5 linked regions of the Ovis aries genome follow. The protein of the gene in region 2 interacts with the protein of the main gene of each other region in a pairwise test. Links are inferred from orthologs where the notes say so. Each region holds a gene or a part of one and is shown on either strand. Other genes may lie near its edges. The genes, in order: HNF1A, PCBD1, TFF3, HNF1B and FXR2.

Region 1 (5,079 bases), on a different chromosome or scaffold from region 2:
TCAAAGGCGAGGTGTATGCTCAGGGAACCCTCCACTGCAAACCTGGGGAGAGCTAGGAGCATTTTCATTCAGGGCATGGTGGGTTTTACCACCTGAGCTTCATACCCTATAGAGTCCCAAGTACACTTCCACACTTTAGAGCCTAAGTGTAAAAAAGATGGGTTTTGATGTTTCCTTTATAATGATCCAGGTTTGTTTTTAGGCAATACTCATACTTAGTTTTACTAAAACAGAAGAAAGATTTTACAATAAAAATTAGGTGTCTTCTCCTAAAGCAGCCATGGGCATACCTAGTCTCATACAGATCCTTCCAGAGGTATAATATAGCGCTGCTCTTTAGTCACTTAGTCGTGTCCGGCTTTTGCCACCCCATGGACTGTAGCCCTCCAGGCTCCTCTGTCCATGGGGCTTCCCTGGCAAGATTATGGTGAACATTGAGGCACCAGGGATGACCCCCGTGCATACATGAGCCATATACTATATATATACACATATATATATTTCCTCTGCTGTTTGAAGGGCAGCTAGCTGTTCTGTTATTTGGAGGTGCCATTAACTGGCCTCCTACCAAAGAATCAGCTGAGAAAGTGGCTGGGTCTCTTCTCTCCTGGCTAATACTTGTACTTTAGGCTTGATTTTCAAGGCTAGAATGTTGAAAATAACTCTTGAATCTACTCAGGAGATACAAGCTCAGGTTTCTGCTCTACTGTGTGGCCCTGGAAAAATATTTAACCTCCCTGACCCTCAGTTACATCTTCTGTAAAATGGGATGGCATACGTGTCCAATGTGAATGAAAGGTGATGCTTACCTGGAGCCTTATATTGAGGACTGTGAGATTATATCGTGGCCCAATAGAAAAGTGTGCAGGGGTTGATTAGTGATGTCTGCCTTGGACGCACGTGAGGCAAAGGGTGACGTGTGTGATGTGTGTTTGTCATCACAGGGGTAGGCGGTTTCTGGGTTCGAGCAGCAAGCTCCTCTGGCTCAGCACCCTAGGAATAAGGAAGAAGCAGAGGCATGCTCAGGCTGATGCGGGAAGGTGGGCTGGCCAGTGTCCTGCTCACAGCTCTCTGTGCCCACAGAGTTCACCCACGCAGGCCAGGGTGGGCTGATTGAAGAGCCTGCAGGAGATGAGCTACCTACCAAGAAGGGGCGCAGAAACCGTTTCAAATGGGGCCCAGCCTCCCAGCAGATCCTGTTCCAGGCCTATGAGAGGCAGAAGAACCCCAGCAAGGAGGAGCGAGAGGCGCTCGTGGAGGAGTGCAACAGGTAGGATGGCTGGCGGTCGGCAGGGCTGGCTGGGTCTGGGCTGGGGAGAGGCTGGGGAAGGTAAGGAGGGCTCCAGATCCTGAGGGAGGCCCCCTGGTTTTGAGAGCTCCTGCTGTTGGCCCAGGAGTTCTCAGCTCCTGTTCAGGGCCTGAAACCTGGCTCTATTTCTGGCACCCACCCCCCACCCAGGGGTCCCCAGCCTCCAAATCTAATGCCTGACGTGATGTGGAGCGATGTAATATTAATAGAAACAACTGTTAATCACTCAGTAGTGTCCGACGTTTTGTGACCCCATGGACTGTAGTCTGCCAGGCTCCCCTGTCCATGGAATTCTCCAGGCAAGAACACTGGAATGGGTAGCCATTCCCTTCTATAGGGGATATCCCTGACCCAGGGATCGAACCTGGGTCTCCTGCATTGCAGGCAGAGGGAAGCCCCAACAGAAGCAGAGTGCACAATGCATGCAATGCATTTGAATCACCCCAAAACCATTCCCCGCTCCCCAGCCCATGGAAAAACTGTCTTCCGTGAAACCGGTCCCTGGTGCCAAAACGGTTAGGAGCTGCTGCCCCGCCTACCCAAGCGCCCCTGAGTGGGGCTGCTCGTCTCACCCGCCCTCCGCTTACTGCGCTCCCTCTGTATGAAGAGACTCAAGAGAGCCTAAGCCATTTGCTCAAGATCGCAGAGCAGACTGGGCTCGGAAGCCAGGTCTGTCAGCTTCAGCTGACTCTCAGGTAGAGAGCCCTGCTTCTCAGAACCTCCCCCAGCCCCAGAAGGCTCACAGTGCCCATCTCTCCAGGGCAGAGTGCATCCAGAGGGGCGTGTCACCGTCGCAGGCCCAGGGACTGGGCTCCAACCTCGTCACAGAGGTGCGTGTCTACAACTGGTTTGCCAATCGCCGCAAGGAAGAAGCCTTTCGGCACAAGCTGGCCATGGACACGTATAGCGGGCCACCGCCGGGGCCAGGTCCCAGCCCTGTGCTGCCTGCCCACAGCTCCCCTGGTCTGCCCCCGCCTGCCCTTTCCCCCAGTAAGGTCCACGGTGAGTGCCATGTGGGCAGGGGGACCGGGCAGTGGGAATATGGGGGTAAGTGGGAGAGTTGGGGAGCACCACCCAAGGACTGAAGCCACACAAGCCACTTGGCACCTCATTATGGCTCCAGCTCTATGCACACTGCCCTATCCGCCCCACCCCTCTCCTCTCCTCTGACCACTCAGCTCCATCCACTGCCCTCTCTTCTGTCCACTGCATTCACTCCAACCCCACTGGATTTGGGTTACAGCAATTCATTCCCGATCAAGCCAACTCAACTGCTTTCAGCTCAGTTCAATTCAACTCAATCCAGTTCAACTCACTATAATCTGAGTTTCATTTACATTTCATACAGTTTGGTCCAATCCCATTCCCAATTGATCCGTTTAACTAAATGTATTTCAAGGAAATTCAGTTAATCTCGTATCGTTCAGTTCAATTTCAATCCAATTCGATTTGATCCAGTTCAACTCAATCAATCTCAGTTCATTTCGGGTTTGCTTCAGCTTGATCAGTTTCATTCAACTAATTCCAATTCATTCTGCTCAAGTTTGCTGCGGTTTAATTTCATTAGCCTCAGTTCAGTTTGGCTCTGTTGTCTTTCACTGAGCACCGACTGTGTGTCTGGTGTAGCCCTGGGCAGTGGGGGCCACAGAGCTAATAAAACACAAAGCTTGTGTTCAAGGGGTTGAACAAGCAGCCAGCACAGGGCCTGGCAGGAAGTGAATACTCCAGCAAAATCTGCTGGCTGCATAGAGAAAGATAGTGTGAGTGGCCTGAACAAGCCAATACAATTAGGGGTGTTGGGGGCCGTGGGCGCAGGCAGGGAAGTGGGGCGCTGAGGCTGGACGTTGCTCCCACTCCAGGTGTGCGCTATGGACAGCCTGCCACCAGTGAGGGGGCGGAAGTGCCCTCAAGCAGCGGTGGTCCCTTGGTGACGGTGTCTGCATCCCTGCATCAAGTGTCTCCCACCGGCCTGGAGCCCAGTCACAGCCTGCTGAACACAGAGGCCAAGCTGGTGAGTGTCCCCCCACCTCCCCCATCTCCCCTCGGCTGGGAGATTCTGGGGCAGTACCCAGGGAGGCAGGGTGGGGCCCCGCCCTGACTCAGTCTGGCTTCCCCTCCAAGGTCTCAGCCACTGGGGGCCCCCTGCCCCCGGTCAGCACCCTGACAGCACTGCACAGCTTGGAGCAGACCTCTCCAGGCCTCAGCCAGCAGCCCCAGAACCTCATCATGGCCTCGCTTCCCGGGGTCATGGCCATTGGGCCTGGAGAGCCTGCCTCCCTGGGCCCCACGTTCACCAACACGGGAGCCTCCACCTTGGTCATTGGTAAGCTGGTGGGGCTGGAAGGGGGCCATCTGGGTGAGGGGCTCATGGAGGCTCCCGCTGAATCCAGGAATAGGGAGAGCCACTGGGACTCATTCATTCATAGATTTATTGAGTGCCTGCCCCATGCTCCACCAGTGACACACAAGTGAACCAAAGAGCCCCAGAACTCAGCCACCCACGTGGGGGAGGCAGATAAACAATACATTAAGTTACACAGTACCTGAGACGGTGAAACAGCTACGGGAAAACAGCAGCGCAAGGGGGACTGACGTTTCCTAGGTTTTAGGGTTTTTTTTTTTTTAAAGCTCAGAGACTTTATTCACAGAACTATTATGCAGAAGCTCAATATATGGGGAAGGGTTACAGAGTTAAGCCCCAGGGCCTTTGCACGGGCTGTGGAACCCCAGGGCACCAAGGAACCCTCTTTGACATACTCCCTGCCCTTATAGCGAGCTAGCAGCTCAGAGAGGGGGAGTCACTTGCCAGGGCCTTAACGCAGTACAAGGCTGTTTCCGGATTACCTCATCCCCTCCTCCAAGCCACAGGCTCTAGGAGGGAGGGATGGTGCCCCTGGTGGTCTCCGAGGCCTGGCCGACCCCTGCCCCTCCCACCACTCCAGGCCTGGCCTCCACGCAGGCACAGAGCGTGCCGGTCATCAACAGCATGGGCAGCAGCCTGACCACCCTGCAGCCCGTCCAGTTCTCGCAGCCGCTGCACCCGTCCTATCAGCAGCCACTCATGCCCTCTGTGCAAAGCCACGTGGCCCAGAGCCCCTTCATGGCCACCATGGCCCAGCTGCAGAGCCCCCACGGTGAGCAGCCCTTGGCCCCCTGCTGGGGGCGGGGGGGCGGGAACCCAGGGGAAGGGGCGGCATGGCAGATGCTGTGGTCTGTGTGTGTGTCTGATACTCACAGAAGTGTGAGTGCCTCTGTGATGGGGGCTCTGGGGGTGCTCAGATGCATGTCCATGGGCTGAATACATTTCAGGGTGTGAATCCATATGGTCATGTGTACACACCCACGTGTGCCCTTGGGGCCATGTGTACCTCTCAGCTCTTAGAAAGGTGATATGGTGCATATACCATGAAGACATACAACACTCTCAGCAAGGCTTGGTCCAACACCCCCTCATCAAACACCACTGTTTCTGCGGCCAAAGGGAGAATTCCATGAAGGGCAACCCACTCCGGTACTCTTGCCTGGAAAATCCCATGAACGGAGGAGCCTGGTGGGCTGCAGTCCATGGGGTCGCTAAGAGTTGGACACGACTGAGCGACTTCACTTTCACTTTTCACTTTCATGCGTTGGAGAAGGAAATGGCAACCCACTCCAGTACTCTTGCCTGGAAAATCCCATGAACGGAGGAGCCTGGTGGGCTGCAGTCCATGGGGTCGCTAAGAGTTGGACACGACTGAGCGACTTCACCTTCACTTTTCACTTTCATGCGT
Region 2 (5,570 bases):
GACAGGCAATTTGAACAGGCAGTTCACCAAAGATGGGTCATTGGCAAATAAACACATGAAAATTTAACCATTTGCTCTTGTTTCCTGGGGCTCCGAGTTCAGTTCAGTTCAGTTGCTCAGTCGTGTCTGACTCTTTGCGACCCCATGAATCGCAGCACACCAGGTCTCCCTGTCCATCACCAACTCCCAGAGTTCACTCAGACTCACGTCCATCGAGTCAGTGATGCCATCCAGCCATCTCATCCTTGGTCGTCCCCTTCTCCTCCTGCCCTCAATCCCTCCCAGCATCAGAGTCTTTTCCAATGAGTCAACTCTTCGCATGAGGTGGCCAAAGTACTGGAGCTTCAGCTTTAGCATCATTCCTTCCAAAGAAATCCCAGGGTTGATCTCCTTCAGAATGGACTGGTCGGATCTTCTTGCAGTCCAAGGGACTCTCAAGAGTCTTCTCCAACACCAGGAAGATCTCCAGTAACACAGTTCTTCATGTCTCGGCACAGAAAGAACTCAGTGAGAGGCAAAGTGATAGATAAGAAGTGATTTATTAGAATAAATAATGTGAGGCTTACAAGCAAGTGGGCGAGAGGATGCCATTCCCCAGAAGTTAGTGTGCTACAATTTTATAATCAAAGGAAAAGTGGGAAGGAGAACTTCTCTGTCTTTCCTGAGTAGGTGTCATGCTTCCATCATCAGTTCCTCCTCCAGGTTGGGTAGGGAGTTTTCTTGTCCCTGCATGGTTAAGTTAGGTTCACAAATTATTGTGGTTTTTTGGTTGTTTTTTTTTTTTTTTTTAATCTGTGCAGAGAGCATGTCCTAGGGATCATTAACTTACTGAGTTCCCTGGGCAGGATGTAGGTCTCAAGCCACCATTGTTTCATTGTTTGGGGGCATGTCTTATGCTTCTGTTGCATGGTTTAGCTGCTAAGTAAGCCTACTTGGTTTTGTGGTTAAGCAAACCTGCTCTCCTGAGTAACCATTAACTTACAGGGGTCTCCTATACTTTTTTCTACTTACCATCCCCTTGTGGGATTAACTATTTAATCACGTACTCTATCCCTTTACTCTGTCCCTATCAAAAAGGTATTTAACATCATTAGTCATTAAGGAAACTCAAAACCACAGTGAGATATCACTGCATACCAATTAGAATGGCTAAAATTTAAAAGACTGACATGGCAAATTTTTGTGCACCTGTGAAGGTGGGGGGGAACTCAAAGTCTCATACACTACTGATGGGGATGTAAAATAATCTGACCACTTGGAAAAGCAGTTTGGTAGTTTTCCTAACAACTTATAAGCATATACCCCTGCATATGAAAGAAAAACGAAAGCATATATGCACCCAAAAGTTTACAGCAGCTTTAACTGTCAAAAACTGGAAACAACCCAAATGTCAGACAAATTGTAGCATTTCCCAAATGTCCAACAAACTGTAACACTTCCAACACAATGTAACACTATTAAATAACTATTGATATATGCAAAAGCGCAGATCAACCTCAAAGTAATTATGCTGAGTGAAAGAAGGCAGATATAAGAATGGAATGTTTTGTCCATTCACATATCATTCACATACCATTCACATAGAAAATGCAACCTTATCTATAGGGAAACAGGTTAGGGGTTGTCTGAGTTAGGAGCAGGCTATCTAGGGGTTATGTCTATGTTCATGATCTTCATCGCGGCGATGCATACCACGTGGTGATGCATGGTTGCACAGATGCCTACTACGTCAAAACGCATCGAAGTGTACCTTTGAAATATGCGGAGCTTATTGTGAGGGTCAGTTTCTCAATGAGGTGTTTGTAGGAAAGAAAAAGTAATCTCGCGCCCAGAGTCACATAGGAGGCGGCACCGCGCGATGCAAATACTGAAGTCCGCGTTTGGAGCCCGGGTCCTGAACTCCCCCAGCTCCCTGTAACTTTGCCTCCGAGGAAAGTGCTGGAAGGGAACCTCAGCGGTTGTTAATGATTACCGGTGGGCGGCTCCTTCTCGGCCGCGCTCCCGCCTCGGGGCGGCCCGAGCGCGGCCCCGCCCGACGGCTTCCGAGAGCGCCGGGCGTCGCGCCGGTGGACTCCGCGGCCACCTGCTGCTGCTGCCGCCCCCGCGTCCGGCATGGTGAGGGGGCTCACGCGCTGCCGCCGTGCGGGCAGCGGGTTCGGCGGGGACGCGCGGGAGGAGCGGAGGAGGGCCGGGGCCCGCACAGTCTCCCCGCCCAGGCCAGAGGACCGCGCTGGGCGTGCGGGGGAGCCTCCCGCCCAGGCCTTAGCGAAGCAGCCGCGCGCCGGGCGGGGGGAGTCGGGGTCTCGGTCCCGCCTCCACCCTACCCGCAGTGGTGCCGCCGGGGTCGCTGAGGCCGAGAGACGGGCGGTGGCAGGTTCAGTGACAGCCAGCGGGGAGCCCAGGCCAGAGTCCGCTCAGGGCCTCGGTGCCTCGGGCAGGGAGGGGGCGGTGAGACGGGGATGGGGAATGGCCGCACAGTTAGCCCGGAGACCTAGTCCCCTCGGTGGCGCGGCCCTGTCCTATGGGGGCTGGCGGGGGCGGGGTGCAGCGGCGAGGAGACCGATGCCTGTGTGGGTGTGCAAAGCAGGGGCGGCTGAATTTCCCGTGTGCCTCTGCCTGCCTGTTTACTGTCCTTTTCGCTTGCACTTCGGGGCATGAGGTCTAGCTGAGCCCCCTCTGCGGAGCCTGGACCTCAGGGCCAGCCTCTGGCGCCTAGTTTGAGGCCTGTGCCCGGCAGTGGGGACGTGATTGCTCAGGATCATATGCCCTCCAGGCTGAACTTTCTGGGAGCAGAGTGTCAGGCCCTATGCTCAGCTATAGAGATGAAGGTGAACCTGCAGGGCAGCAGGAAGGGACGCTTCTAGACCCAGACCTTTACTAAACAGCAAAAACGTTAGGCTCCAAAGCATCAGGAGCAGCTGGGACTGCGGTGACACCTGGGAGGGCACTTTGGAGACCTTGGCTTGAACATAGGGGAGGTGGTGGGTGAGCTGATTGTGAGGTACACTGAGGCTCCGCAGCTGCAGGGCGTGGGTAATCAGTAACCCCTCTGCACACCCAGAGGCCCAGGCCTGGCCTGGGATTTACTAAGCTAACACTGCCCCTGCTCCCTCTCTGAGCCCAGATCTCAGAGGGGTTTGTCAGTTCAGCCCCAGGCTGTGAAATGTTGGGGATTCCAGAAGACTCTAAAGAGAAAGGGGAGCCTCCTAGGAGCCCGCTAGTACCCATGCACTCCTTTCAGAGTCAGCGTACTAGGTAGTAGCTTCTGATGCCTTAGCTGCCATCTGGTTGCCTGGATACATAGACCAGGCTTATCAGCCACTGAGACAGGGCCAGGCTGTGGAAGAGAGACTGGGTTGAATGGTGATGTAAATCTCAGCTGTCCTTGCTGATCTTACAGAGCCTAGGAGAGGAGACGGACCCATCCAGATCTGTCCAGAGAGAGCCCACGCTTTTTAGGAGGGAGAAAACTGTTGAGTTACCAGGACCCTGCAGTGTTTTGTTCAGTTCTAACCCACACCTGAAGGCCTATCATAGACCTGCTTGCCTCAAGAAGTCTCCTTTTAAAAATGCAAATAATATCCCCTCAATAGCAATGGAGTTAAGTGTCTCCTGGCTCCCCTTGCTGATTCCTAAAGTGGCAGTTCTTGTACCTTTTTACCCTTCAAGCAGGAGAAATGAGTGCCCCCAGGCCACCTGGCTTCCAGTTTGCAGGCTGCCTTATCAAAACTAAATTAACCTCCCTCATATTCTTTTCCCAGACCTAACTAATTCACTTTTAATTTGGTTCCCGACAATGTCCATCCTTGGGTAATTCTACTTCACAGGCCTAAATTCTAGGATCCCTTAAGCTCCTCCACCTGGATCTTTTTACGAGGCTGGAGCACGGACCTTTCCTTTCTTCTGTTTTCCAAGAGAAGGTTCCCCTCATAGCCTGAATGGTGCCAGTTTGGGCTGCCCCAGGGATATTTTGCACAATTGGAAAATAGGCTGAGGCACTGCCCTGTCTGTTTGCCCTTGGCCAAGTTACTCCTGCTTCGGGCCTGAGCTCTGGCTCAAGCTGACAAGCTGACAAGCTGAAAAGAAGGTAGAAATTAAAGAAACATAGGCCTGGCAGCTGGGAACCAGAGGCTGTGTAGCAACGAGGTGGGGTACCCACTGGGAGGTAGTGCCAATAGCTAAGAATCTCCTGGGATATGTTTTAAGTGCTGGTTCCTTTGCCAGTCCCCAGGGATATGGACCCATCTTGAGAATGATGCCTGTGCTTTCACTAACAGGGGAGTCGGGGAGAGGGGGCTGTCATTTCCCCTCTCTAGGCCTGTTTCCTCTTCAGTTCACAGTCACAGTAGGATTTGCTTTTATTCTCTCATGAATGAAAGAGATCTGATTTTTAAATGGAGAGGTGCCCTCTGAAAGCTCTGAGGACAGGCGCAGGGAGGAACGTTTCTCTGCCCCGGTGACTGGCGTTACACCTCAGGACTCTCTGTTCTCTAAGAACCTATCAGTGCCCGAGCCAGAGCCCCTCCTCCCAGTCTGTTGCGTTAGACAAGCTGCCCTTTGACTGTGTTACCACAGCCACCAGTGGAGGCTGGCTAAATTTCCCCAACAGCCCAGGGCCCTCTCTTTTGTCCTGTTTAAAGGGGGGGGGGAGTGCCCTTGAGCGTCTGTGTTTTCCCTCTCCTAGGCTGGCAAAGCACACAGGCTGAGTGCTGAGGAAAGGGACCAGCTGCTGCCAAACCTGCGGGCCGTGGGGTGGAACGAGCTGGAAGGCCGGGATGCCATCTTCAAGCAGTTCCATTTCAAAGACTTTAATCGGGTATGACTGGGGTGGGACACAGTTCCTGAGACCGGGGCTGATGGGGTCACACTCCAGAACGTGTTCCCTCCCTTAGAGTACTTTAAGCCAAGACTCTCAAGATGCTGTGCGAATCCAGTTTGGTTGTCTTCATCCAGTTTAGCTAAAGATAGGCCCTGGGCTGTCTCCATTTTCTGTGTGTTAGTCGCTCAGTCGTGTCTGACTCTGCGACCCCATGGACTATAGCCTGCCAGTCTCCTCTGTCCATGGGATTCTCCAGGCAAGAATACTGAGTGGGTTGCCATGCGCTTCTCCGGGGGATTTTCCTGACCCAGGAATCGAACCTGGGTCCCCTGCATTGTAAGCAGATTCTTTAGCCACCAGGGAAGCCATGGACTCTCCATTCCTGGAACTTTTAGAAATAGTCCTAAGAGGAGACAGTTCAAGTGGGAAACAGGTGACTATTTGAAGACATTTTAGTAGATAACCTAAAGGTTGGCCAAGACGCAAAACCTCTTTGGGATTTCCGCCTTCTTAGTGGTCCTAGTGATAAGACTTTCTGCTGCAGAAGGACCACCTCAAACTCCAGCCTCAGAGCTAGTGGCAGGGCACCAGGAGGGATGCTTAAAGCTAGAAAGGTTACCTTGTAGGGATCGGGGCCATCCTCCTCCTTCTGGGCCTCACACTGGCCGTAAAGAGAGCCCAGCTGTCCTTTCTCTCAGAATACTAACCTGGGTCTTGCTTCATTAAACAGGCTTTTGGCTTCATGACAAGA
Region 3 (5,820 bases), on a different chromosome or scaffold from region 2:
AGAACACACCACGAGACCCCACGCTCCCCACTCTCCCCGCCAGTCAGGTGCAGAGGGGGCTGGCGTCCTCGATGGAGGAGGAGACCGCAGGGTCCCACAGAGGCAGGTCGATCGCAGCTCTGCCAGGCCTGCTGGGTGACCTTTGGCAGATGGCCGGTAACAGAGAGGAGCAAACCCAACTCCATACTGCAGCTGATCTTCAGCTCCAACCTTCATGCCTATGGACGACGGATGGACAGATGGGTGGATGAATGGCATGCGTGCTCATTTGTGTCCGACTCTTCGCGACCCGCTGGACTGTAGCCCTCCAGGCTCCTCTGCCCATGGAATTCTCCAGGCAAGAATACTGGAGTGGGCTGCCATGCCCTCCTCCAGGGGATCTTCCTGACCCAGGGGTTGAACCTGCATCTCTTGTGTCTCCTGCATTGGCAGGTGGGTTCTTTACTGCTGGCGCCACCTGGGAAGCCCTCTTGTGCTCTGTGGCTGGAGCCTAATCATGATGCCCCTTCATCTTGGTACAAGTAGGTCACCTATAGCCTGAAATATGCAATAGCCCCTTCTCAAGGCTCTGCCTCCCAGCCTTAACCTTTAAAGGTAAAACACATTTCATTCACATAGAGATAAAAAGTTGCAGAGCAGAGAATGTTTGTCCTGTTGGAAGTTTACAAGAACATGGTGCCTAGACCTGTGTGGGCTGCTGCAAGAAAAAAGGTCCGGGGTCTAGCTGGTACCAAGAGGTTTGCAGCAACCACCACGCCCCTCCCCTTTTAGTGGAAAGAAACCTGAATTCTAATTCAGCTAAGACAGTTCTTTGGAACATGGGTCCACCATCTTCCTGGATTCTTGGCTTTCCAAATGAAATAGCTACTGTTGCTCCAAAACGCATCTCTCGATTTATCAGCCTATTATAGCACCAGTAGTATGGATTTGATAGCAACATTTTGAGCCTTAGTTTGTTCCTCTGCAAAGTGGGTATAATTATTCCCATTTCATTTAGATGTGCTTTTTAATTAATTACTTTTGTTTTTTTGGTTGTGCTGGGTCTTCCTTGATGCACAAGGGCTTTCTCTAGTTGTGGAGAGCAGGGGTTACTGTCTAGCGTGGTGTGTGCACCTCATCGTGGTAGCTTTTCTTGGTGTAGAACACAAGCTCTCGCCTCAGGGCTCAGTCGTTGTAGCACAGGGGCTCCACAGCTGTGGCTCGAGGACTCTGGAGCTCGAGGGCTTCAGTAGCTGTGGCAGATGCGCTTTGTTGCTTCACAGCAAGTGGGATCTTCCTGAAGCAGGGACTGAACCCTTGTCCCCTACTTTGGCAGAACAGATTCTTAACCACTGGATTGCCAGGGAAGCCCCTAGATATGTTGTTATAAAATAATTTCTAAGCTTTAGCTTTCATATTAAAAAAAATGGAAAGGAAGCTGGGCAAGGTAGAGTAAGTTCCCTTTTGTGTGAACAAATGTGCTTAAAAGTACAGAGGACATTCTGGGAAAATACCTAAGAACGTGTGAAACTTGGACAGTGTCACACAGAAGGGGCAGAGCCTTCTGTACTGTCTGCCTTTAACAACCAACTGCAGGTATTGTATCTTTATTAAAACATACTCAATAATTAATACATTTGTTAAAATGTAGTTGATAAAAATAATTTTTTGCTGGAGAAAAAGCAAAAAATAAAGAAAAAGCACTTCTACATTTCAAGAGCTGTGACACAGAAATGAAATCAGCACACCCCGTGTACCTGACTTGTAGTTGTCACCTGTCTTTTCAAGTACTCGAGGTTGGCCTGGGATTAAGTGGCCTGGAAACTCATGTCACTGAGCAGGGACCCTCCTGACCTGCTCCTGGGTGGGTTGTTGGGTGGTGCCCAGGCCTGGCGATACTTCCTTGAGCCTCACACTGAGCCTTTGTTCTTTCCTCCTGGCCAGGCTGACAATGGGCGTTGACCCTGCTCTGGCTCCCTGATACAGAGGTGTTCACAGGCAGCTGCATCTGCCATCGCCCCTTACTCGCTACCACAAAACAGTGGGGTGGGAAGCACCTCTACCCTTGGGATGGTCGAGCCTCTGGGGACTTTGTCGTCTCGTGCAGGGCAGGAGTGGGCGGGGCTGGAGGGAAGGGCTCCCAAACAAACAGAACCCGGAGTGCCTGTGTAAACACAGCGGTATAAAGGTGTCTTCTTGGGCAACTCAGCATGTTCTCTGAGCGGTCGGGTCCCCGAGCCAGCCTGTGACCATGGAGGCCAGAACATTCTGGCTGCTGGTGGTGGTGGTCCTGGCCTTGGGGTCCTCCAGTTCGACCGGGCAGTACGTGGGCTTGTGTGAGTACCGCTCCAACCCCCTCCCACTGGGCAGCAGGGAGGAGGAGGGTCTGGGTGGCAGAGTGGGAATACAGGACAAGGGGACAGGACATGGAAGAGCCAGGCTGGGGGCTTTCTGTGGGCTAGAGGAAAGTGACCAAGCTCCTTAATAATTTAATGATTGCTACTTTAGCTACTGGACACAAGGAGCTGACTCATTGGAAAAGATCCTGATGCTGGGAAAGACTGACGGCAAAGGAAAGGGGGGTGGCAGAGGGTGAGATGCTTAGATAGCATCACCGACTCAGTGGACTAGATAACTCAATGGACGTGAGTTTGTGCAAACTCCAGGAGATAGTAGAGAGCAGAGGAGCCTGGTGGGCTACAGTCCATGGGGTCGCAAACAGTCAGACACGACTTCATGACTGAACAACAACAAGCTTACCAGACACACACATTTTCTCTCAGCAGCCCTACAAACTGGGTCTTGCTGTCCCCATTTTGCAGACAAGGAAACTGAGCTTCAGAGAGTTAGTAAATGACTCTGCTGGTCAGTGTGGAAAGCAGGATGGGAACCCTGGTAGCCACACCAAGCCTACCCTCCCACTGCCTTCTTTGCTGGAGACTTCTGAATTAACAGTATAGGTCTTTCTACATTATTCTGACACATTTGCAAAACACAAAGAAAAGACAAATGAAAACAGCCACTTCCAGAACATTTTCAATACCTACAGTTTTCATTTAGCGACTCAATTGTAATTCCAGGTGGGGCATGGCTGTTCCACTAATTGGATTTTGCAGAAATTAAAGTGTGGCTTTTATCAGGTTCTGAGTGGTCTCAAACTCGGCACCTGGAATCACCTGGAAGCTTTTAAATCTCAAAGCCCAATAGGATGTGCCAACTACATCAGAATGTCTCTGGGTGGGAGCAGGTGTCACTGGTCCTGACCCCAACGTGAGCAAAGTTTGCCCCAGTGGAATAAGGACTTATGATTTGGCAGCCGTAGAAGCAGATTCTAGGTTCCCTGTGAATTCTATTTTCCTAAGGAAAAATCCGGTTAAGGCATGAGGCACAGCGGACTTTTGCTGAGCTTCTGACATAAAGGCTTATCTGAAAAGTGAATCATACAGACCCACAGATATACAGGCACGGTGTGTCAAGGGAAATAGGGAGAGGCAGAAAATAGCACAGGTTGCGGTTTTCTCACTTGAATGCCTACCTTCTATTATCCTATTCATTTTTAAGGAGGAAGATCTGTGGGGAAAACACTGAAGGGGAACTTTGTTTCCGGGTTCAGGGGACCCTGGATTCCTGTGGGTACCTGCCTACTGGCGGGAACCCAGGCTCCACAGGTGCTAGGAGCAGCCAAGTGAGAGACCCCGGGCAGCTGGCCAGATCTTTCACAAAACCGTTCTCCTGAAATATTTATGGGGAAAGAAGGCCCTGGAGCAGCAGATGTTGGGAGAGGGGTGGGGTTGTATCCTATGAACCGGGAGCTGGGGGTGGGGGGTGGGGGGTGGGGCGTGCGGACTTGTAAATGCGGCCGGCGGACCAACCCCAAGCCAGAGAGGGCTCTCTGACCCGGCTTTGTGTGGGCCAGCGGCGAACCAGTGTGCGGTGCCGGCCAAGGACAGGGTGGACTGCGGCTACCCCGAGGTCACCCCCGAGCAGTGCAACAACCGCGGCTGCTGCTTCGACTCCAGCATCCCCGGGGTGCCCTGGTGCTTCAAGCCCCTGCAGGAAGCAGGTGAGCCCTGGGAAGCCACACACACCTGGGCCCTGGGTGGGCCCCCCTATGCCACAGCTGTCTGCTGGGCAAGGGGGGGGTGCTTCCCAGGTGGCACCAGTGGTAAAGAACCCACTTGCTGATGCCGGAGACACAAGAGACGTGGGTTCAATCTCTGGGTTGGGAGGATCCCCCGGAGGAGGGCATGGCAACCCACTGCAGTTTTCTTGCCTGGAGAATCCCATGGATAGAGGAGCCTGGCGGGCTGCAGTCCAGGGGGTCACACAGAGTCGGACACGACTGATCATGCATGCACTTAGTTTTTCATCATTTCAGAAAGGTGTTCAGAGTCAAGGCCTTATTAGAGGGAAATAGTTTAAAAGCTCCTCTGGAGAAAAGTGGACAATACCTGGGTTTGGAAAACTGGGCTGACTTTCAAGGCTGTTTTCAGCAAGCACCCCACTCAGAGTCTCGGTCATTTGTGATCTGTGACGTGCTCTCTGTCTGGACGTGGAGTCCTGGCATGTCTCCCCACACCGCCACTCCCCTCCTGCCCCCACCACGAGGGGCTCCCCGTTTCCTGGCTGGGGCGGTGGGGTGCAGGGTGGCCCCGGGGGACCCCGCCCTGGAGCAGCTGGCAGTGCCCTGGGTGCTCTGCTGTCCTGGCTGTGTCCCCCGCCCCCTGGCCCGTCCCCCATCTCCACCCCTTTGGAGGTTGCCGTGAGCCATCTGGAGCCCAGGTGCCAGCTCACCTTCTAAGAGGCACGTACTACTCCATGAGGCCCTTTCCTGGAATCGGCACAATGGCAGGGGAGTGGCGGGGGAGATGGGGGCATGCTTGCCCTTTGTCCCTGGGGAATGACAAAGGCGCCTGCATTCCAGCCAGCCGGTCTGCCTCCCTAACCAGTTATGGGGGTGGGGGGCTACCCATTGCCCAGGGCTCCTCCCCTTCCCACAAAGGTCCAGATCAGGCTCTGGGCCCAGTGGGGAGTCACCCCTGTGCCGATCATTACCCCCTCCACCCGCTCCTCAGCTCGAGATGATACTTCTTTGAATTCTAGCAGCGGCCCTGTCTGGCCTGGTCCATCTCAGGCTCCATTTGTCCTGACCCCTGGGGTATCCCTGGGGTATGGGCTGTTCTCCCAGGAGGTGGGGACTCGACCCTTCCCCAGGGACTTGGCAGAGAGACAGCACACACCACTGACCTTGGAGCTGGTCTGGACCTGGAGAAGCCAGGCAGCGGTGGCTGGGGACCACACAGCTGAGGGTGATGCTTGTCTGTGCTTCATTTCCAGAATGCACCTTCTGAAGCTGCGTGGCCGCCTGACACCCAGGGAGGGGACCTCCGCACTTGGGTACCTAGCCTGCCCACCCTCATCCCTCTGCTTGTCTCACACTGCTCCTGGCCAGGCCTGAACCAAACGCCTGGGGCCTGATGTCTTAAAGAATAAAGCTCCCGTGCTCAGCATGAGGACAGGTCTTCATTCCTAAGAATTGACGCCGCTGTGTTTTATTTCTGCCAAGTCACTCTCTCCCTTCTCAGCCTTCCACTGATGGGGGCAGGGGGCGGTGTCTTAGCATCACCTAGCAGAGGGTCTGCCCTAGGCCTGGGGAGCAGGGAAGGACCCCAAAGTAGCTCCCTAGAGGTGAGGATGCTGCAAACCTGTGACCTAGTGTTGTAGGACAGATAGTGTCACTTAGAAACTTAGAAGGTTTCTCACCTACTAAGCATCACTTAGAATGGCGTTGAGAAACACCATTTCAAATGTACGTTCCCCCCAAAAGGTTATTCATGACGT
Region 4 (5,615 bases), on a different chromosome or scaffold from region 2:
AGCTCCGTGCACACAACCACCCCTTTCTCGTGGGTGGTCCAGGAGTGCAGAGCAAGCCCTGTAATTTAAAAAGTCAACCTAGGTCCTTAGCAGGGCTTCCCTGGTGGCTCAGTGGTAAAGAATCCACCTGGCAATGCAGCAGACATGGGTTCCATCCCTGAGTGGGGAAAAGTCCCCTGGAGAAGGAAATGGCTACCCACTCCAGTATTCTTGCCTGGGAAATCCCATGGACAGGGGAGCCTGGTAGGGCTACTGTCCATGGGGTTGCAAAAGAGTGGGAGACAATTTAGGGACTAAACAACAACAACAAGCTTCTTAACAGCCTGACTTGGATCAACCACATCTGAGTTTCAGCCCTGGTACCTGAACCAAGCAGACAGATCTGATGACCCTCCCCAATCCCACTCCTATTCCTGCTGAAATTCTCCTCCTCCTCCTAACTGTCTTTAAAAGGTGGGAAAGTAGGGAGACTTTGCTTAGAAGCTCTTTTGCAAATGCCCTGTTCATTCTGAATGTTTGTCCCTAAGCTCCCAGGCCCTCCAAGCCCAGCGCTGAATTTGCTTGGTTCTGAGAATCCTGAACCTCCCTAGGGGCTGCTAGATTTCACTATTAGGAACCGACTGCCTGCCTTCTCAGAAAAGTGTGAACACTGATCCTGGAATACAGGGTTTCACAGGTGGGCTTATTCAATGTACACAATGCCGCATCCTCTGGGCTTTAGATTTCAGTATTTCTTAGGTGATGAACCTGAGGCTTAGAGAGGGGAAGGAGGTGTCCTCTGCCCCAGGAACTATGGGACTGTGAGCCATGGGTCCTAAAAAGCCCCTGCTGCCCTGGATCTTCTGCAGGTCCTGGGCAGCCTGGAGTCGGAGCACCTCGGGGAGATGCCGGTGAAACTCCGATAGCGCTGAGAGGTTCCCGGCTTCCTTCCTGGACCGGGCCGGCGTGAGCAATCACTTCTGTCCCTCGCTGGCTTGGTCGGTCCCTTCCCAACTAGGCGTGGGAGTCGCCAGCCACCGCCGCCTTGACCTCGCGTCCACAGAGATCAATCTCTGGCCCTGGGAACTGCTGTGTCCTGGAGCTGCGAATAAACCAGAAATCAGTGCGCCCAGAAGACGTGCGGCTTCAACTGTCCAGCCAGTTTTCACCGCCAGAACGGAGGCCCCGCAATCCCAGTTTTGCCCCGAAAGCGCGCTTTGAGATTCTGGGTTTTAAAGCCCAGGGGCCCGGGCGTCCAGCTGCCCGCGGCTTGGCCAGGCTGGGTGCCGGTGCGGCGCCGCGGCACCCAGTTAGTCGGCGCCTCCTCTTCCCAAGGGTCCTCCCGGCCTCCTTCCCGCTGGCCTACGCTCTGCGGCCGACAGTTCTGCAGATCCAAGCCGCCAGCCCCGGCGCCCGGAGGCCTGGGGTCGGCAGAGCGGTAACCCAGGTAGAACTCAGGGCCCGCCACCCGCCCGGCATTCCACACTCACCCCCGCCCAACACGCCCCTCTTTCCCCGGGTCCCCGCGTCCACTCCCCTGCGGTCAGTTTCTTCCTCCGCTCGCCCGGCTCACCGGGCCCACCACTTGCAGGTTGGTCGGGACGCGTGTGAGGGTCCCGCTCCTCCGTCTCCTTCTCCCAAGAGCACCCCAGCTTCCTCCAGCCCTCACCTGAGCCCCCGAGCACAGTTTCTCCTTCTCTCCGGACTTAAAGCCGGACCCGCCGCGGGTGGAAAAGTCCCGGCGCCTTGCACACCAGGCTGCAAGCTACTTGTTTAACGAGTCCAAAGGTCAGCTGAAGTTTGGCTGATACACGGAAGCGGCGCACGAATCTCTTCAGCCCCCCGGCGTGAACACCCTGGACCCCAGCGTCCCGGCTCCCGGCTCGGGCCTCGGGCTCTCGGGTCTTCCTGTCTCACTCTCACTCTCTCGGTTCCCCTCCCCCGCGCCCCCCCTCCCCACTATTTGCATCTTGCCGAAAGCCGGGCCCTCCCCGCTAATTTGCATATCTTATATGGCCTAATGGTGGCGATCATGGCAAGTTAGAAGTTTTCTGACTCCTCTCGGAGGAGACTCCGGGACCCCGGGGAGTAACAGGTGTCTGGAGGCTGAAGGGTGGGGGGGGTTCCTGGACTTGGGGCTAGCTTGTGAAACTCCCCTCCACCCTCTCTCGCACCCACCCGCCCGCCCCCTCACCCCCTTCTTTCTCTGTCCTTGGAAAATGGTGTCCAAGCTCACGTCGCTCCAGCAAGAACTCCTGAGCGCCCTGCTGAGCTCCGGGGTCACCAAGGAGGTGTTGATCCAGGCCTTGGAAGAGTTGCTGCCGTCCCCGAGTTTCGGGGTGAAGCTGGAGACGCTGCCCCTGTCCCCTGGGAGCGGGGCCGAGCCGGACACCAAGCCGGTCTTCCATACTCTGACGAACGGCCACGCCAAGGGCCGCCTGTCCGGAGACGAGGGCTCCGAAGACGGGGACGACTATGACACCCCTCCCATCCTCAAGGAGCTGCAAGCGCTCAACACCGAGGAGGCGGCGGAGCAGCGGGCGGAGGTGGACCGGATGCTCAGGTAGGCGCGGGCCGAGGTGCGGCGGGGTGCGCCTGAACACCCGGAGCCCCGGGCCCCGCGGCTGAGCCGCACGGCTCCCGACTGCTGTTGCCAAGCCTGGTTCCCACCAGAGAAGTCCCCGGGGGGGGGCGCTCCGCTTCTCTTCCAACACCTGGACCCCTCCCAGCCCCTCAATCGGACGGCCCGAGCCCCGAAACTTCGTGAATTCCTGCCCAGCCCAGCGCCCGGGACTGGCGGGGCCCTGCCGGCTGTGTTTGGGTTCGGCCTGGGAGAACCGAGTTTGCAGAGCCCTTGCCCACGCGGCCGAAGGTGCGAATGGGCGCAGTGAAACCTCGGCGATTCCCCAGTGCCGAGGCTCCGGGCCCTCAGGAACCCCAGGCCACAAGCAGTTCTCCCGGGGAGCCGCATCTGCGGAACCGGCCTGGGGAGCCGCGTCCTGCGGCTCTCTGCAGAGGGACCGGCGGCTCCGGGGCTGGGATCTGGGGGTCGCCTTCTCCGATGGGCGCTCTCGTCTGCAGCGCCCGCGCAAGCCCCCGAGGTTATCCGGGATCCCCAAAGCCCGTTTGGATCTGAGAAAGGAAATGCTTGCACGTTGTCGGGTTGGAGTGGACTCGCAAGGGGCAATGAAACCGCGTCTCTAGCAAGCGAGGGATCAGTGCGTTCAAGCCTCCAGTTCGCCGTGGATTTGGTGGGAGAAAGGAGGGCGTTCCCGGATCTCGCCGCTGACACCCCGGCATCCCCGGGGAATCCAGGCAGGCCGGTTGCCCAGAGGTCTGTCTCCCGGCCCCGGGTGGTTTGCTAAGCCTTTCTGAGCGGCCTAGGGCTTTGACAGCTTGTTACTGTCGCTCCCAGCCAGGCTACTCTGGGACCGAGACCCTCGCTTGGCCTCGGACCCTCCAGCGCCGCAGTCCCCAGGCAAGGCCAGGGCCGGAGTCGCGCCCGGGACCGGGGCAGCCCGGGTCACCCGCCCGCACTGGCCGTTTGGGATGCGATATGACCTTGCATTTGAATTTGCTACCTGGGGACCCGGCGGCTTACTCTCTAGCAAAACAATCAGGGGAATTTCTAGATTTTTTTTTTTTTTTCTAACTTCCCGAAAGTCTGTTGCTACAGTTAGTTCGTAGGGTTTGAGGTTCTTTCTTGCCTAGCGGTTGCCCCCTTAGCGGCGGTTTCTCCCCGGCCCGGGCTAGGGGTGCAGGAAGGTGAGAGGGGTCAGAAGAGAGCGGCTGGGGTGCCGGGGCGGGCCGGAGATTGACCCCGGGCCGGGAGGAACCGCCGATGTCCGGCCGCCCGGCACCGGGGCCCGCGGGGCCTAGGCCCATCCGCCTGGCCGCAGGCACCCGCCTTCCAGCGGGGTTTTGGAAGAAGAACCTGGGGCGTCCCTCGACACCCAGCCCCGCGCCGGGTTAGACGTGGCAGAGATGTAATATAAACTGAAGCACGTGGAGTTAGGGTGTTATTAATTTATTTCTATAAATCATCAACAGAAAGATACACAAAAAGTCGTGATTAGGTTGAACGGAGAGGCGGGTTATTCATTGGTGAAGTTGTAAACGCGGCTTCGAGAGGGAAGGAAAGCAGAAAGCGGCCTCGCGGGGCTGTTCGCGGCTCTCAGCACACACGCACCGGGCTGCCCGGCCCTCCCAGGAGAGCCCCCGCGCCGCCCCGCGCCCCGCGCCTGACCCGGGCTGCCCCGGAGGTCGCCGACGCCGCAGGCCGGGCGGGCACAGAGCCAGGCCGGCCCTGGGCTCCGGACCTCAGCGCTCTTCGCTGCGCAGAGCTCCGGGCTCCAGGGGGCGGAGAGCCAGGCTAGGGGGCCCAAGACCCCCACCGGGGGCGGGGGTGGGGAACACACAGGACAGGCCCTAAGGTTTCTCCTCCTTTCCCCAGCGGCTGCTAACTTCCCTCCCCCACCTTCAGGAGTGGCCAGACTTGATTAAAGTAATTTTTCAAGAAATCGCCAGCGGTCCCCAGGTCACTGCGCAGTTGGCTGCTACACGCCAGAGGCGCGCACTCCGCTTTTGGTCCACCCTGCTCCGCTAAGGCGGAAAGAAAAGAACAGGACAAGTCACTTTGGGGAGCGGCTGGCCGCTCTTTCCATCTCCAAGAAGAGAGAGACGAGGAAAGCGGGTCGGGGCTGCGCGCTGCCGGTTCCGGCCCCGGCTCTAGGCTGGCGCGCGCGGTGAAAAGTTGGAAAGTTGGTTGCTCCCCAAGAAGCCCCGGTGGAGGCTTCTTAAAGAAGAAATCGCGGCGATCGGAGCCGGGGTCCAGGGCCTCTCGGTTCGTGGCATTGTTTGGAAAGGAGCGTGCTGGGCCGACCAGGCGGGCGCCGAGGTCGGGCGCTTGACACCTGCGCCCTGAGGACAATGCCGGGCGCCCTTCTCCCGATCCGTGTGTTTACCGGGGTTGGGAACCCCAGATCACTGGCTGTATTTTTAAATTTCAAAACGCAACCGACTCTTGGGGCTCTTGCCGGTGAATCCATGAGAATTCTGTGGTCAGAGCTATAAAGGTGTAACTACGCCATCTTATCCCCAGCTCTGGTCTTTAATGCGGGCTGAAAGATTTGCTATCGTTTATATAGTTTCCCTGGCCTTTTGTTTTTTGTTTTAAACCTTTCCAGTCGTTAAGCTAATTCACTTTTTCCACGGAATTATTTACTCTCAGAACATTACACTATTTCGGTTAGGTTTCTTAAACACAAAAAATAAATGCTAGTAAAAACTTTAAACAAAATCAAAAATGTTAAAGAATCTGTCGAAGCAGCATTACCTTTAAAAACCCAAATACTTTTTCTAACTTTCGAAGCTGTTGTTGGTATCTGTTGAAGGTGTTTTTTTCACCCTGAAAATACTGTGCAAGTATTTAGCAGAAATAAACTTTTAAAATGAGTGCTGATGTTTACACAGGCATGTTCAAAATGTTACATTACTTTCCTCTTACTCAAGGTGAATTATCCATATTTGAAATGGACACAGTTCCTCATTTTTTGTTCCTGTTTTTACTTAAATATTGTATTACTTGGAAGTACCTTTATAAATACTTGAGATATTAAGCTATATGTAATTTTGAG
Region 5 (5,850 bases), on a different chromosome or scaffold from region 2:
AGCCTGGTGGGCTACAGTCTATGGGATCGCAAGAGTCAGACACAACGACTAAACCAGCAATATGATGATAATTCTCACATTTGCCTCTCTAGCCCAGACCTGTCTTGGGCTATGTCCATTGACCTACAGGACATTGGTTCCTTTGGTTATTACTTGCTATGCCAGGAACTGTGCTAAGTACTGGGTATACAATACTGGGGACAAACAGACACATGGAACCCAGTCTCTGATCTCACAGGGTTTACTTATAGTGGGACGGCAGAAGACAAACACTGGAGAAATAATGAAAATTATAACTATGATGAGTACCATAAAAGAGTATATGATGCTTTAGCAGCATGAGGTAGAAGACTTAACCTAGTGTGAGCATAATGGAAGGCTAAATAAATTATTTTTAATTGTCATACTGAGTGAAGTAAGTCAGACAGAGGAGAAATATCGTATGACATCCCTTATATGTGGAATCTAAAAAGAAATGATACAAATGAAGTTACAAAAGAGAGACTCAGAGAATGAACTTATGGTTGCAGGGGGAAAGGATGTGGGGAAGGGATAGTTAGGGAGTTGGGGATGGACATGTATGACATATACTTTATGCTCAGTTGTGTCTGACTCTCTGTGACTCCATGGGCTATAGCCCGCCAGGCTCCTCTGTCCATGGGATTCTCCAGGCAAGAATACTGGAGTGGGCTGCCATTCCCATCTCCAGGAGATCTTCCTGATCCAGGGATTGAACCGGTGTCTTCTGCGGCTCCTACATTGCAGGCAGACCCTTTACCGCTGAGCCACTGCACTTACACTACAGCTTAAAATCTTTCAGTGACTCCGTAGTATTGATAAAGTGAAGGCCATTCTCCTTAACCTGATTTATAAGTGCTTCACAGTTTAGCTTCCCTACTTCAAGCCAAATGCTATTTGAACTAGTTGTGGTTCCCCAAAGGACATGTTTTGTTTTTTTCTGCTCCTCTGCACTGTTTATTCCTTGTTCTCTCAAAAATAGTTTTACTGCATTTTTCCTCTAGCAAACGCCTACTTATCCCTCAAATCTCAATTTGCATTACCTCACCTGTAGTGGTCTTTCCCTATCATGCTGAAGGGCAACTGACCATTGTTTGTGTCTTTGGGATTCCCTCTATCCTAGTCCTCATCTTTAACACATCTTCAGATGAACTCTAATCACTTTATTTACTTAAATGTGATTGTCTGCGCCATTTCCAATATATCATAAAATCCTTGTTTTGGGTAACTGGAACACAGTGAGGGCTAAATAAATATTGGCTAAATGATTAGCTGCACACACATGATCCTAATTTCTTGGCTATTTTATTCACTTCTACTTAAATTTCTTACTTAGTTTATGAATCCTAAGCTTCCCCTCAACTATCCTTTCTCTAACAATTTTTCCCATTTTGAAATCTCTCAGCATTTAGATAATAATCTTGTGCCAAATTGCATTTGCCTTTCGGTAGTGTCTTGAAATCTTTCTTTAACCTTTCATCATATGCAGGATCAGAATCTTCTCAAGGCAAGAAGGTGACTCTTAATTTAAATCTTAACGCGCAGAAACAGAAACACTCAAAAGAGTCCATACCGGCATGTGGACTGTAAGGCCCAGAGCACGCGCACTAGGCCCATTTTTGCTTTTCGACTCCTCCTTCCCGCGCCCTCCCCCCGCCTCCCGCCCCGGAGCGTGCGCACCAAAAAGACAAAGGTGGAGAAAGTGACCAAGCAATCATTCAGGCGCATGCCCGTCCCTAACTTCTCCAAGCCTGGTGGAGCGCACAGCCGTGAAGTGGGTGTGGCCTGACCAAGGAGCATCAGAAGCCCAATCCGATTGAGTGAGCTCGGCCCCTCCCTCCCCATGATTGGTTAGCTCTCTGTGTTGTGGGGCGGGGAAAGGCAGAGACTGGGCGGTGGAATGGTGGGGTGGCGAAGAAAGAGAGTCAGTTTGGTTCTGCGCAAGCGTAAATCAGCGACCAGGAGGGGGCGTGAGAGAGGCAAGAGGAGTGTGGAAGCCCTGCTGCGCTGGCCAGCGAGAGCTGGGTCGCCAGCCTTGACGCGTGCGCCGTGGCCCTCGGGGCCCGCGCGCGGCGGGCGGGTGCCCGGTGCGTCTGCGCAGTAGGTGGCGGCGGCGGCAGAGGGAGGAGGAGGCCGTGTAGAGGCAGCGGCAGCAGTGGGTCCCGGGACTGAGGCTGCAGCGGGGGCGGCGGCGGGCGGAAGCTGAGGTGACGAAGGCAGCGGCGGCGGCGGCCGTTTTCCTCACGGTGGCGGAGACCAAGGCGGCGGCGGCGGACGGGGAGCGGCCCGGCCCCGGCCCCCTGCTCGTTGGCTGTGGCAGGGCCGCCGTGGGGCCGGCCCGGCTCCCGCCCCCCGCGGCTCCCCCTCCAGCTCCTCCTCCAGGGAGACGCCGGGGACCTGGCCCGGCCCGTACTCAGAGCGCTGCTGCAGCCGCCGCCGGGGGAGTCGGAGGCGGTGGCGGCGCCATGGGCGGCCTGGCTTCGGGGGGGGATGTGGAGCCGGGACTGCCCGTCGAGGTGCGCGGCTCCAACGGGGCCTTCTACAAGGTGAGGCGGCGCGCCGGCCAGGGACGCGGTCTTCAGCCCCCTCCCTCCAGCCAGAACGGGGAAGAGTGGGGTGGGATCGAGGTTCTGGAGCTAGCCCTGACCCTTAGAACCTTGGACCCACGATCCCACCCGCGGCCCTCCTTGGGGGAGACTTCTGGAAGTTAACCCCTTATTTTTGGCCCCTCTGTTACACCTGCTTTTACCCGCATCTCTGGGAATGAACATCAGGGCATTATTGTGCTTGGATCAGCGCCCCCGCAGCCCCCAGGAGAGACCCCATTTACCCTAGCGTCTTATTGACTTTTCCTGTCTCCTAATAGAAGGCATACCTTGGATCTTAATCACCTCTTCCCCACAGTCCAAGCACATGGAGAATTCTCTTTATTCTCCCCTATTACCCCCTTGGGAAAGCCGTCCCATATTAGATCCTTTCATCTTCCTCGGAGAGGCCTCTGCCTACTGGCTCTGAAAGACTCACTCCACTTTCATCTTATATTTCTGTTCCCACACCAAGGAGAAACGGTCAGAAGCTGTTTATGACATTTAGTATCTTTGACCTCAGGAACTCTGGGCTGTATCAGTCTAGTTGCCTCCTAGCCATAAGGTGGCATCTTTTCACAAGTCTCTCTCACCCCACCCCTTTATTTCCAAGGCTAGTTGGTCTGCTCTTCTACTGGAGGATGGTTTTGTATTTGTCATCTCACGTTGACCTCATACATTCAAATCATTCATATAGTTTCTTCATTTTGAGGAGTGTGAGCTTCATACTCCTACTCTCTATCTAAAATGAGATCTCATGAGGATTACTTCTGTTTATCTTTTTCTTAAGGATTTCCACTTCTAGAAGACTTTTGGTCAACCTGCCCAATTTGGAAACCCAATAGTCTATTTATTTATTTTTTTTAAAGGAGAAGAGGACTGTCTTTACATTTTTAATATTCATTTATTTGGCTGTGCAGCATTCAGGATCTTAGTTTCTGAACCAGGAATCAAACCCATGCCCCCTGCATTGGGAATGCAGAGTCTTACCCACTGGACTGCCAGGGAAGTCCCCTGAATCTATTTTTTAGGACACTTTTTTCCCCATTCATTTATATTAAGCTAGAGGGAGACCCCTCTTGCCTCTCAGGAATTTTTCTTTTGCCACTGTTGTTATGTTGTTAGTTTGAACCGCTTTGTGCTTTATGCCTGGGATTGTCTCAGAGACTTTCCTGCTTCCTGACTTGTTCTCTCATTTTGCCCTCATCCATTATTTGTGAGGACAAGAGCCCCCTTTCCTCCACTTCCCCTCAAGCCTTTCCTCCCGTAGTGGACCTCTCCACCTTGGTATCTTGGAAATGACTTTCCTTCCCTGTGAAGTCGTATCTTGCTATAACTGGAAAGGGTCTCATATTAGCCCTTGGAGTAGGTTTCTGCCCCAGCTTCAATTGATAAGTTCAGTGGTCATCTTTGACCCACTCTAAATGCCTATTCATTCCTGCCTGACTTCCCCTCACCAGATTTCTTTATATTCTTCATTGCCTATGCGTAACCTCATCTGTCTTAATTTCTCAATTTAAGTCTGTGGCTTTTTATCCTAGTATTTCTGCATAATCCCCCAAAACTACCTATTCCATGACCCAGCTAACATGGAAGAAGGAAGCTCCCAATTTACCCCTTCTTTCATTCTTTTTCTACATACTTTCCTAACTCATGGGACTTTTTTCTCTAGCATGCCTCCATACCATTTGTTTTCTTTGGCAAAGTCTCTTAATTCCTTTCTGATTCTGATAGAGTACATTTGTCTCTTATATCCTTTTCCCTCAGGCTTGCTTACCTTTGTTGAAATACCCTTTCTCATAAGATTTTAACCTAATTTCCCACAATATCCTGTCCTTCATCAGGGTCCTTCCCAGCCCCAAGAAAGTGCTTCTTAAATTGAGTCTGAGATCAAGATATAATGTTTGCTTTTGTTCCAGGAAGCATGGGAAAGATCAGTATCCAGTTTGAATTAACCGTGTGAGACTGCTGGGAAGGGGCATGTTTCCCTTTCCACATATAAGTGTCAAGTAGAAAGTCTGTCTCTGAATCTTTCTCTTTTCTCCTGTGGGCTATATGGCAGTGATAGACTTGATTCAGTGAATCAAAGATAGGATGCTTTGAATCAGAGAATAGAATTTGGAGTTCAACTAAAAGCCAGGTAATATGGAGTTTGTATTTTGGCCACTTTAGCATTTTCTGCTCCTTGTCTCATTTGAACAACAAAACATCCTTAAATTCAGTAATCTTTCTTAACTTTCAGTGCCATATACTTACTGAATCTGACCTTGCTGCTGATTTAATATTCATGACTCAGCAGACTTCAGTGTGGTTCAAGGAGTGTTTACATTGCTTCTAGAACTATAAATCTGGGGAGGTTCCGTGCATCTCTCTCAGAAATGGGTCCTGTTGTTTTTTTTCTTCTTACAAGCTAGAACTGAAAATACCAGAAGTTATCTTGTAGCTATCCCATCAACTCTTCCTTTTCTGTCAGAACTTAATGCACATATTTCCTTAAGGTGTACTCTCCCAAGTGAACTATCCGTTCATCTTCTCGGGCATGGCCATCCAACTTTCTAGACCTTACCTGGATATCCCAATACCTACTCCTTTGTTAAGGATATAGCATCCACCTATAAGCCAAAGCCCATTTGCCATGACTGTTGAATTGAATTGAGTCATCCTTTGGATCTAGGTAGCCTTCTAGAGATTCACTTAACTGCTCTTGCCCTCCCTTGCTTATCTTCTCAGTGAGCATGGATTGAGCAGAACGAGGAACTCACTTTCTACCACTGGTATCTATGAAGGAAAAAACTGGGATAATGTGAGTGGAATTAAGGAGCAGAGAGTGAATTGGAATATGAAATTGAGGAGAAAGCTTGTTTTGGAGAATCTTTGACAAAAAAAAAAGACCTTAGAAGTGTAAGAATGAGTGATGTTTTGTTGAACTGCTGAGTAATGTGAGGGAAAAGTGCATTTTTTGTGAATGATTATATCTAGGAGTGGGGAATCTCTTCACAAAAAAGGCAGGCAAGTGACTCTCTTCTATCTTTTCCACAGTGTTTTATCTCATCCCAGAAATGTTTTGAAAATAGCTAACTTTCTCTTCATTAACTGTTTCTAAAGCTTAGAGATAGACATTTTGGATAAAGTCAGCTGCAGAGGCTAGATGAAATTTTTAGAGAAATCCAGACAGACCCTTATAAAGGAAGAAAAGAGAGGGAAGAGATATAATAGTCATTGTGGGAGGAGGGGAGGAGGACACTTA

Evidence for each region.
Region 1: the proteins of PCBD1 (region 2) and HNF1A interact in binary tests that used the Homo sapiens proteins (3 or more experiments, as listed by UniProt). The link is inferred for Ovis aries from reciprocal best matches to the Homo sapiens genes PCBD1 and HNF1A.
Region 3: the proteins of PCBD1 (region 2) and TFF3 interact in binary tests that used the Homo sapiens proteins (3 or more experiments, as listed by UniProt). The two-hybrid records come from large-scale screens. The link is inferred for Ovis aries from reciprocal best matches to the Homo sapiens genes PCBD1 and TFF3.
Region 4: the proteins of PCBD1 (region 2) and HNF1B interact in binary tests that used the Homo sapiens proteins (3 or more experiments, as listed by UniProt). The link is inferred for Ovis aries from reciprocal best matches to the Homo sapiens genes PCBD1 and HNF1B.
Region 5: the proteins of PCBD1 (region 2) and FXR2 interact in binary tests that used the Homo sapiens proteins (3 or more experiments, as listed by UniProt). The link is inferred for Ovis aries from reciprocal best matches to the Homo sapiens genes PCBD1 and FXR2.

What each region holds. Positions count from the first base shown.
Region 1 is NC_056070.1:63,315,863-63,320,941, forward strand, and holds part of HNF1A (hepatocyte nuclear factor 1-alpha), read left to right. Parts: intron 1-809; exon of another isoform or gene 810-993; intron 994-1,083; coding exon 1,084-1,270; intron 1,271-2,069; coding exon 2,070-2,311; intron 2,312-3,168; coding exon 3,169-3,320; intron 3,321-3,430; coding exon 3,431-3,632; intron 3,633-4,251; coding exon 4,252-4,443; intron 4,444-5,079. UniProt on the Homo sapiens protein: Transcriptional activator that regulates the tissue specific expression of multiple genes, especially in pancreatic islet cells and in liver. Binds to the inverted palindrome 5'-GTTAATNATTAAC-3'.
Region 2 is NC_056078.1:26,302,841-26,308,410, reverse strand, and holds the start of PCBD1 (pterin-4-alpha-carbinolamine dehydratase), read left to right. Parts: upstream 1-2,024; 5' UTR 2,025-2,112; coding exon 2,113-2,115; intron 2,116-4,684; coding exon 4,685-4,816; intron 4,817-5,549; coding exon 5,550-5,570. UniProt on the Homo sapiens protein: Involved in tetrahydrobiopterin biosynthesis. Seems to both prevent the formation of 7-pterins and accelerate the formation of quinonoid-BH2. Coactivator for HNF1A-dependent transcription.
Region 3 is NC_056054.1:263,245,817-263,251,636, reverse strand, and holds TFF3 (trefoil factor 3), read left to right. Parts: upstream 1-2,185; 5' UTR 2,186-2,230; coding exon 2,231-2,315; intron 2,316-3,895; coding exon 3,896-4,042; intron 4,043-5,316; coding exon 5,317-5,330; 3' UTR 5,331-5,492; downstream 5,493-5,820. UniProt on the Homo sapiens protein: Involved in the maintenance and repair of the intestinal mucosa. Promotes the mobility of epithelial cells in healing processes (motogen).
Region 4 is NC_056064.1:13,734,741-13,740,355, reverse strand, and holds the start of HNF1B (hepatocyte nuclear factor 1-beta), read left to right. Parts: upstream 1-2,021; 5' UTR 2,022-2,198; coding exon 2,199-2,542; intron 2,543-5,615. UniProt on the Homo sapiens protein: Transcription factor that binds to the inverted palindrome 5'-GTTAATNATTAAC-3'. Binds to the FPC element in the cAMP regulatory unit of the PLAU gene. Transcriptional activity is increased by coactivator PCBD1.
Region 5 is NC_056064.1:27,151,617-27,157,466, reverse strand, and holds the start of FXR2 (RNA-binding protein FXR2), read left to right. Parts: upstream 1-2,115; 5' UTR 2,116-2,483; coding exon 2,484-2,564; intron 2,565-5,850. UniProt on the Homo sapiens protein: mRNA-binding protein that acts as a regulator of mRNAs translation and/or stability, and which is required for adult hippocampal neurogenesis. Specifically binds to AU-rich elements (AREs) in the 3'-UTR of target mRNAs.